Linked DNA regions of Kluyveromyces lactis. The protein of the gene in region 3 purifies or fractionates together with the protein of the main gene of each other region. This does not show direct contact. Links are inferred from orthologs where the notes say so. Each region holds a gene or a part of one and is shown on either strand. Other genes may lie near its edges.

Region 1 (3,256 bases), about 1.5 Mb from region 3:
CATTAAGATGACAGGACTGTGAAGATGATTGCAGAAGTCACGTGTGTGAGATGCAGATATTCATCCAACTATCCGAGGCAGCTGCCGATAAATGGCTAATAGTATTACATTAATGCATTAAGTAGGGGGTACTGTATGCAATTGACAAAGCTTTTGTTTCCATGCTTCTACTTTATTTTACTAGTGTAAGCGATACTGGCAATGTCTCTCAATAGAAAAATATCATCGATCGTATTGAAAGGAAAACTACGAAAGAAATCATTAAAGGAGTAGAAAGGGTAAATGTAAATACATCAAGCAAACTGAAGAAAACTCATTGAGCGTGGTAACTAGTTGTAAATATACTGAAGATACGGAACTAGAATGTCTGTGGACGAGAAATATGATGCTGCTTGCGAGCTTTTATACAGATTGGATCCAACAAAGGTGAAAACCCATTTACAGAACCTTATTGCGTTGGAGCCTGAAATCGCAGAAGGATTACTTTCCTCAATTGATATCCCATTGACCATTAAGAAGGATACCGATGCTAACAACAAAGAATTCTTATGTTGCGACTACAACCGTGACATCGATTCTCATAGGTCACCGTGGTCTAACCAGTACTTCCCTGAATTGAGTGCCGAAGATTTGAAAGAAAGTCCTTTTCCCAGTGAGCCATTGAGAGAACTAGAAGTTGCATGCAACAATTCTTTCGAGTTGTATAGGGACCTATACTACGAGGGTGGTTACACTTCAACGTATCTCTGGGACGTTGATGAATCAACTGATTTCGCGGGAGTCATTCTTTTCAAGAAAGCTGAATCAGATGATTCTAAATGGGACAGTATCCACGTCATATCTGCCACCCACGATGAAGAGGGTATGGAAGTCACATATAATGTCACTACAACGGTGATCTTGCACTTGGAAAACCTATCAAAAGAACAACAACTATCATTGTCCGGTAATCTAACTAGAGAAAATTCCAAGACCGTAAAATTGCAAAACGTATCTACTGTTGAACAGCTAGTACCCGCTCACTCTTCCAGCTTGGGATCTATGATTGAAGATATTGAATCTAAGCTTAGATCAATGCTCGAAATCGTGTATTTCGAAAAGACGTTGGATATTTACAACGTGTTGAGAGAACGTAACGATGATTCTACCAAATTGCAAAAGGAGCAACACTCCGAATTAATTGAAAACTTCCAGAAATTATAATCAATTGAATAAATAAAGTAAGAAATTATACACACATACACTACGTATAAATGCTAAATGAACACCATTATATTTTGCCGGTTCGTCAGTCAACACAATTATTGGCTAGAATTGTTCTATACATAAAACCGTTACCCTAACTCCTCATACTGTAGTTTCGAAATGTCAATTTTTGCAAGAGAGACATGAACTGAAAAGAAATCAGATAACCCAGAAATGAAAATTCCAGTTTGAGTATAGGCATTACAAAAGCTTCAAACGTACTGGATTATATACGGTGAGTGGTTTGGATTTCTCGGACTCATTATTACCACTGTTTATAGAAATAGAAAAGGTCAACAAAAAACTGGCTGGCAATCGTTCTCGTTGTTAATTTCGTGGTAGTTTTAGAGACTTTCCAGTACATTATTAAAAGGAAGATGAAATCGAAAGTGTGGAGTGAGGCAAGAGTCTATAGTGATGCCAACGAGATTCGTGGTCAAAGATACTGGGACTATGAAAATACATCAATAGAATGGAAGGCTAATAACTCACAGTACGAAGTTGAATGCAAAGTTGGCCGTGGTAAATATAGTGAAGTTTTCCAAGGCGTACAGTTATCCACGAGAAATAAGATTGTCATTAAGATGCTAAAACCTGTGAAGAAGAAGAAGATTAAGAGAGAAATTACCATACTTGCAAACCTCTCGAATGAGAAGAATCCGCCAACTGCGCAACCTTACGATGAGGCAAAATATTACACAAACAGAAGAGAAGAAGTACTGAAATATGCGAGAGATAAAGTATATGACTTACCTCATAACGGGCATGAGAATATTATAACATTGTTAGATGTGGTCAGAGATCCCATATCCAAGACACCTGCATTGATTTTTGAACATATCGACAATACGGAATTCCGTAGGTTGTATGCTTCATTTTCGGATCTTGATATTCGTTATTATATGTTCGAGCTTTTGAAAGCTTTGGACTACTGCCATTCGATGGGTATTATGCATAGAGACGTCAAACCACACAATGTAATGATTGACCATAAGCAACACAAATTGAGACTAATCGATTGGGGTTTGGCTGAATTTTATCATCCATCGATGGAATACAATGTCCGCGTTGCGTCAAGATTTTTCAAGGGCCCAGAACTTCTAGTTGATTATAGAATGTACGATTACTCGCTAGACTTATGGTCATTTGGAGCAATGTTAGCATCAATGGTTTTTCTGAAAGAGCCTTTCTTCTATGGGTCGAGTAATACTGACCAGCTAGTCAAGATTGTACGCGTCTTGGGTAGTGATGATTTCGAAAGATATTTACAGAAATATCAGATAACACTCCCAGATGAGTTTATTGATATGGATCAATACATCAGAAGACCATGGCAGAAATTCGTCAATGATTCCAACAAGCACCTATGTGGAAACGATGATATCATTGATTTAATCGATAATCTTCTTCGTTACGACCATCAAGAAAGATTTTCTTGTAAAGAAGCTATGGCTCATCCATGGTTTGCTCCAATTAGAAACAACGAATACACATTATAACCGTTCCATAGATCAATATTTTTATGAAGTTAATAATAATAATAATACTAATAACAACTGTGTGAGCTTTCCTATAATAAGTGTTGGAGGATATATTTTGATCGGGTGCTTCTAAATCTACGAATTTATTATTGACATTCATTGAGAAAGTTTTCAGATGTTGTGGAACTGTTTTGATCCTGAAGCTGAGCCCAGTCAAGCATTTGAAATTCTGCAATGAACGTTTTGTCTTTCAACATCAATAACTCACTCTGAACATACCTCTTGCTTTGAAGGATATTACATCCGTCACAATGAACTTCTCTGCAGTGTTCCAAAATCGATGACAAAATCTGTAGACAGAATCTGAATGCTAGTCCGAAATAGGGAACAATAGGAATTGTTAATCTTTTTCCGAACTTCATAAGATATTCCCACCTTTTCTGGAAAATAACGTGAAAGGCAGAATCCGTTCCTGCCTTTAAATCACTCCAAAATGTTTGTGAATCCAGTAATTTCTCTTTGATCAATAG
Region 2 (1,971 bases), on a different chromosome or scaffold from region 3:
GGCCATTTGCAGAAGTCTCTGCTTCGAGTTGTCAGCTTGAATGCCTTGCTTTGAAGTCCCATGATTAAAATCATATTCCATTAAAAAAATATGTACGAATTATACACAAAGGATGGAGGGCACTAACACATGACAACAAAAAAGTTACTCATTCAAGCAACCAATAAACCAGACAGTAACCAAACAAATATGAGTGAGATGTTGGTAGAGGATATGATTATTTTTTAACCACTGATAGTAGAATAGAGGTACACGATAAACTACCCTACCTAGAGTGGGTTGTCATTTTTTGAAGTGTCAGAAAAAGGTTCCATCCTATATTGAACACAATTGACCATACTTTATAGGAGTCTTACTATAATCTTAGAGAATGAGGATACAAGAGCTTTCTTGAGACCTGGATATCGAATAAAAGTAAAATAAAAAAATTTGAATTCAAGGTATGTCGGTAGAAAACTCAAAGGATGTGCAGTAAATCTGGTCAACACTTTAGTTTCCTGCCCGTTATTCATTGAATGCCAATTTGATATTGACAATACATCATTATCGGTGCGTTTAGGCAGCGATGATGACTTCGACATCCACACCAGGTTCAATGGTGATTTGGGTGATTCTCTTGACGATGTGAGCTGGAGCTTCCAAGTCGATGTATCTCTTGTGGATTCTCATTTCGTAAGTATCCCAAGTCTTAGAACCTTCACCGTTAGGGGTCTTTCTGGTGGAGATCTTCAAGACCTTAGTAGGTAATCTGACTGGACCCTTCTTGACCAACTTGAAAGTTTCAGCATTCTTGATGATGTTGGCAGAAACGTTTTCCAATTGCTTGACCTTAGTGGAGGTCAAGTTAATTCTGATCTTGTGGATCACAACTTCTTGTTGTTGTTCAGATTTCTTTTCAACTTGAGACATCGTGTATACCTTTTAGTTTTATTGGTTTCTTATGACATGAATAGACTTAATATCTAATTGTAAGTAACCTTAACAATACCATGCTAATGCTCATCTATCTTGGAGAGCTTAGAATTTCAACTTCGGAGCACTAGCTTGTCGACATCATAGAACATCATGAAATTTTCATATAGTATTCTGTTTTAGGAAAGAGAGGATGATTATATCAAAAAAGTAGAATCCCATGGCATATATGTACGGGTGTATAAAGAATGAGCAGTCCCCGGTAATATCCGTCGGAGGTGCGACGGAGATTCTTGAACATTAAGGATCAATCGTTGCCAGAATAACGAAACAGGTCAATTGCAAAAGATAAGAATGCCTTTTTTGTGCAAACTAACGTTCCAATACACTTAGGATTGAATTAAGGATAATGTATGTGTACCATCCACGAAGTATATAAATACACTCATTAGTGAATGAAATAGTTCTATCCCAGTTGATACTTCGCTTAAACTAATTCTGATGGCATTGTATATTATCTCCCGTTGAAACTGTCAAAAACCAACATACTGGCTATTTATCATGACACACACAGAATGCGAAGACTTGGAGTACTTAAGATCCATTCAATCCGTTAGGGAAACTTGTAAGAAAGTATACGGCCCCCCTTTGCAAACAGAAAATGGTGACAGTACACATTTTGAAGTGGATCTGGGTAAAATGTCGAAAGTGACAGATTACTTGGTCAATATTATTGAAAGAGATTACAAGAACCTAGGCGATATTCCTGTTCATGGAAGATGGCAACATTTAAACTGTAACGGTATTGATAGAATGGGATCTCTCATTAATTCCTGGGCTGCCCAGAACATCGATCCTTTGGAGGTATGCAGACGGTTGATTGATTTGATAACGTTTAGTGTGATTGTCGATGCTGGTGCAGGTTCAGAATGGTCTTTTGTTGAGAAAGAAACTAAGATTAACAGATCAGAAGGACTAGCGGTGGCCTCTTTCTATATGTTCAAAGATGGTGCCTTATCGCATGATAAATCTCAGACAGTACAAGGTTCTAGATTGAAA
Region 3 (3,096 bases):
AGAATCTGACTGCTAGTGGAACTAAAGTTAGCAATATGATGAGGAAAAATTCATAGCCGCTAGAAGCACTCTTAGAAGTATCTACTTTAGTTGAGATCGTGGATGTGGTTCCCTCATGAGCTGGTCCAAGTGCGGTTCCCGCGCTCTTCAAGTCCGTAACGTCAGTGGAGCCCTCCTGGCTGAACCACACAGCAGTGAACCATAAGCAGTAAATGCAACTAACAATTGTGTCCACACTGAACACAAAAGTAACCGTGGACATTAAGAGGATATTGGGCTTATAAACTTGTCTTATTCCTGAAATGAATACCACTAGACAGAAAATTGACCAGATGTAAAAAGTCCATTGCACAAAGTCTAACGGGTGTCCAGTGAAAAGTGCAAGAACACCATACATCCCGCTGAATTTGTTGAAGGTTAGCACACCAAGTGCAACCTCAACACCTATGTACAAGGGATAAGACAGGAATGTCTAAAGGGCAATGTCATCTGTTAGTACATATTACTGGTATCAAAAAAAAACCATGCATCAAACGATCATGTAAAAACGTCTTTCAACTGCGGTTAAATACCCAAAAGAAACATACTTGTGGCAAATGAACCATATTTGATTGCTGCTGCATAGGAGTATAATAAGGACAAACCCTGACGTTAAAGCAAGTTGGTTTCTTCCACTTACACAGGTAGACCTTTCAATTCATCTACTGAGCGTTTTAGAATGTTTACAACTATTTCCTCTATTGAAAAGCAATTCGCGATCCTGTCTAGAGCATCGTGAAAAAAAAACGTAGGAAAAAAAAAAGTACGCTACTTTACTTTAATGGTGTACAAGATGAGCGATGAGGTTGGAATAGTGGTTATTTACAGAACAATATACGCCGTTCAGCTCCTGTGTATTGTCAAATTAGTAAATCAGAAAGCAGAAGTTATCTATAGTTGGACTACGAATGATGAATATTGACGATAAGCTGGAAAAACTGAATTTAGCCAACCGTGATGAGCATGTCAACACTCAGATCCTAGAGAGGTATGCCAATAGCATCAAAACAGATGAGTTATCATTAACTAGGGGTAAAACCAGCAAAGATAAGGCGAATAGGGCCACTGTAGAGAATGTTTTAGACCCACGTACGATGAGGTTTTTGAAATCCATGATGAACAGGGGAATATTATCAGCATTTAATGGTTGTTTGAGTACAGGTAAAGAAGCAAACGTGTACCATGCGTTTGCTGGTAATCATGAGGAGAGACATCTGCTGGTAGAGGGACATGATGATACAATAGGAGCCCCACAAAATATTGAATCAACAAAACAAAAAGCTCTAACTGCCGAATCTGAGGATGCCACATCCACTTCAACTGCCACTGATGAACCAAAAAATAAGAAGGAATACGCGGTGAAGATTTACAAGACATCTATCTTGGTTTTTAAGGATCGTGAAAGATACGTTGATGGTGAATTTAGATTCAGAAATTCGAGATCTCAACATAATCCTCGTAAGATGATCAAAATTTGGGCTGAAAAGGAATTTAGAAACTTGAAGAGAATATACCAAAGCGGTGTCATACCTTGTCCAAAACCAATAGAAGTTAGATCAAACGTTTTAGTCATGGAATTTTTAAATAGAGGAGATGGTTTCGCATCTCCGAGGCTTAAAGATCATCCTTACAAAGATAGAGAAGAAATTAAACATTACTACAATTTAATGATAGCGTACATGAGACTGTTATATCAGGTATGTCGCTTAGTTCATGCAGACTTGAGTGAGTATAATAGTATTGTACATGAGGATAAGCTTTATATTATTGATGTTTCGCAATCCGTACAACCAGAACATCCTATGTCTCTAGATTTCCTAAGAATGGATATTAAGAATGTTAACTCATATTTCCAAAAATTGGGAATTGACATTTTCCCTGAACGGGTGATCTTCCAGTTCATCATCAGTGAGGTCTTAGACAAATTCAAGGGTGATTACAGATCAAGCGATGATCTAGAAACATATGTTGCCGACAATTTACCTCTAAAGTTGACTGATGAAGACGAAGCTGAAGATGAAGTGTTCAGATCTTTACATTTGATAAGAAATTTGGGTGGTTTAGAGGAAAGAGATTTTGATAGATTCACTGATGGTAAATTTGACCTACTGAAATCATTAATTGCTAATGAAAACAGGAAATATTCCGAAAATTTCACAGCATCGGAGCAATATGAACTCTCTTCTTCTGATGACGAGGAAGATGACGTAGATGGTGATGATCTCCCTAACCTCGTAACGGATATCAATGAAGATGACATAGCTGGATCAGATGAAGATGATGATAGTGATGAAACTAACGATAGTTCTGATGGTGATGGATGGGTCTCCGATAAAGACACTCCACTGAAAGGAAAAAAGTACGAAGATAAAGATGCTAAAAAACAACGTAAGCAAGAAACAAAAGAGGCCAAACGTGAAAAGAGGAAGACCAAAGTAAAAAAACACGTTAAGAAAAAGCTCATTAACAAGACGAAAAGCAAGAAATGATCAATTTAAAAATTCTATGCAATTTCAAATATTTAATATTTACTTAGCGATTTTAAATAGATCCACCGCTTTGATGTTGCCCTACAAGACCTGCCATTTCCAATAATGCACGATCTTCTCCCATGCTTTGTAAGTTGATCTTTTGCCTTCTTTTGGCTTCGGCCTCTTCCCATTGCCATTGCTTTACTTGCTCTTCGAGCTCTTTTTCTCCTCCGCATCCCCACACTTCTACATCTTGGATTATGAATCGGTATTCGAACGAATTCCGTTCTTCTCCACGTCCACTTATTAGACGGCCAGGCTTAAAACTCCCACCTGCTCCCAAATGTCTAAATATACCGAACTCGAGAGATGAATCAATAGTAAGTGAAACATTTCCTGGGAAGTATTTTTTACCGTTAGCTTTGATGATAGGTTGAGAGCTACCAATACCTATACCTCCCCCAACAGTGTTGAAATATACGTTTCCTGTCTTGAATGGGTCCGCATCGAAGATCTCTTGTCTTGGATGAAGTTGGATAATTTTTGTAGACGAATCACCAAACAAATCTTTATTTGATACTTTCCA

What was found.
Region 1: the proteins of RIO1 (region 3) and CKA1 purify together in Saccharomyces cerevisiae (affinity purification with mass spectrometry; 3 studies listed by BioGRID, with this or other methods). This does not show direct contact. The link is inferred for Kluyveromyces lactis from reciprocal best matches to the Saccharomyces cerevisiae genes RIO1 and CKA1.
Region 2: the proteins of RIO1 (region 3) and RPS20 purify together in Saccharomyces cerevisiae (affinity purification with mass spectrometry; 3 studies listed by BioGRID). This does not show direct contact. The link is inferred for Kluyveromyces lactis from reciprocal best matches to the Saccharomyces cerevisiae genes RIO1 and RPS20.

What each region holds. Positions count from the first base shown.
Region 1 is NC_006041.1:381,252-384,507, forward strand, and holds CKA1 (casein kinase 2 catalytic subunit CKA1), read left to right. Parts: upstream 1-1,622; coding exon 1,623-2,744; downstream 2,745-3,256. Other genes in the region: CAP2 (F-actin-capping protein subunit beta), read left to right, coding at 364-1,203.
Region 2 is NC_006042.1:2,371,658-2,373,628, reverse strand, and holds RPS20 (40S ribosomal protein uS10), read right to left. Parts: upstream 910-1,971; coding exon 556-909; downstream 1-555. Other genes in the region: KLLA0_F25520g (URC4/urg3 family protein), read left to right, coding at 1,474-1,971. UniProt on the Saccharomyces cerevisiae protein: Component of the ribosome, a large ribonucleoprotein complex responsible for the synthesis of proteins in the cell.
Region 3 is NC_006041.1:1,885,505-1,888,600, forward strand, and holds RIO1 (protein kinase RIO1), read left to right. Parts: upstream 1-947; coding exon 948-2,528; downstream 2,529-3,096. Other genes in the region: KEI1 (Kei1p), read right to left, coding at 1-472, 588-623; RTC5 (Rtc5p), read right to left, coding at 2,581-3,096. UniProt on the Saccharomyces cerevisiae protein: Required for the final endonucleolytic cleavage at site D converting 20S pre-rRNA into the mature 18S rRNA. Required for the final steps of cytoplasmic maturation of the 40S ribosomal subunit.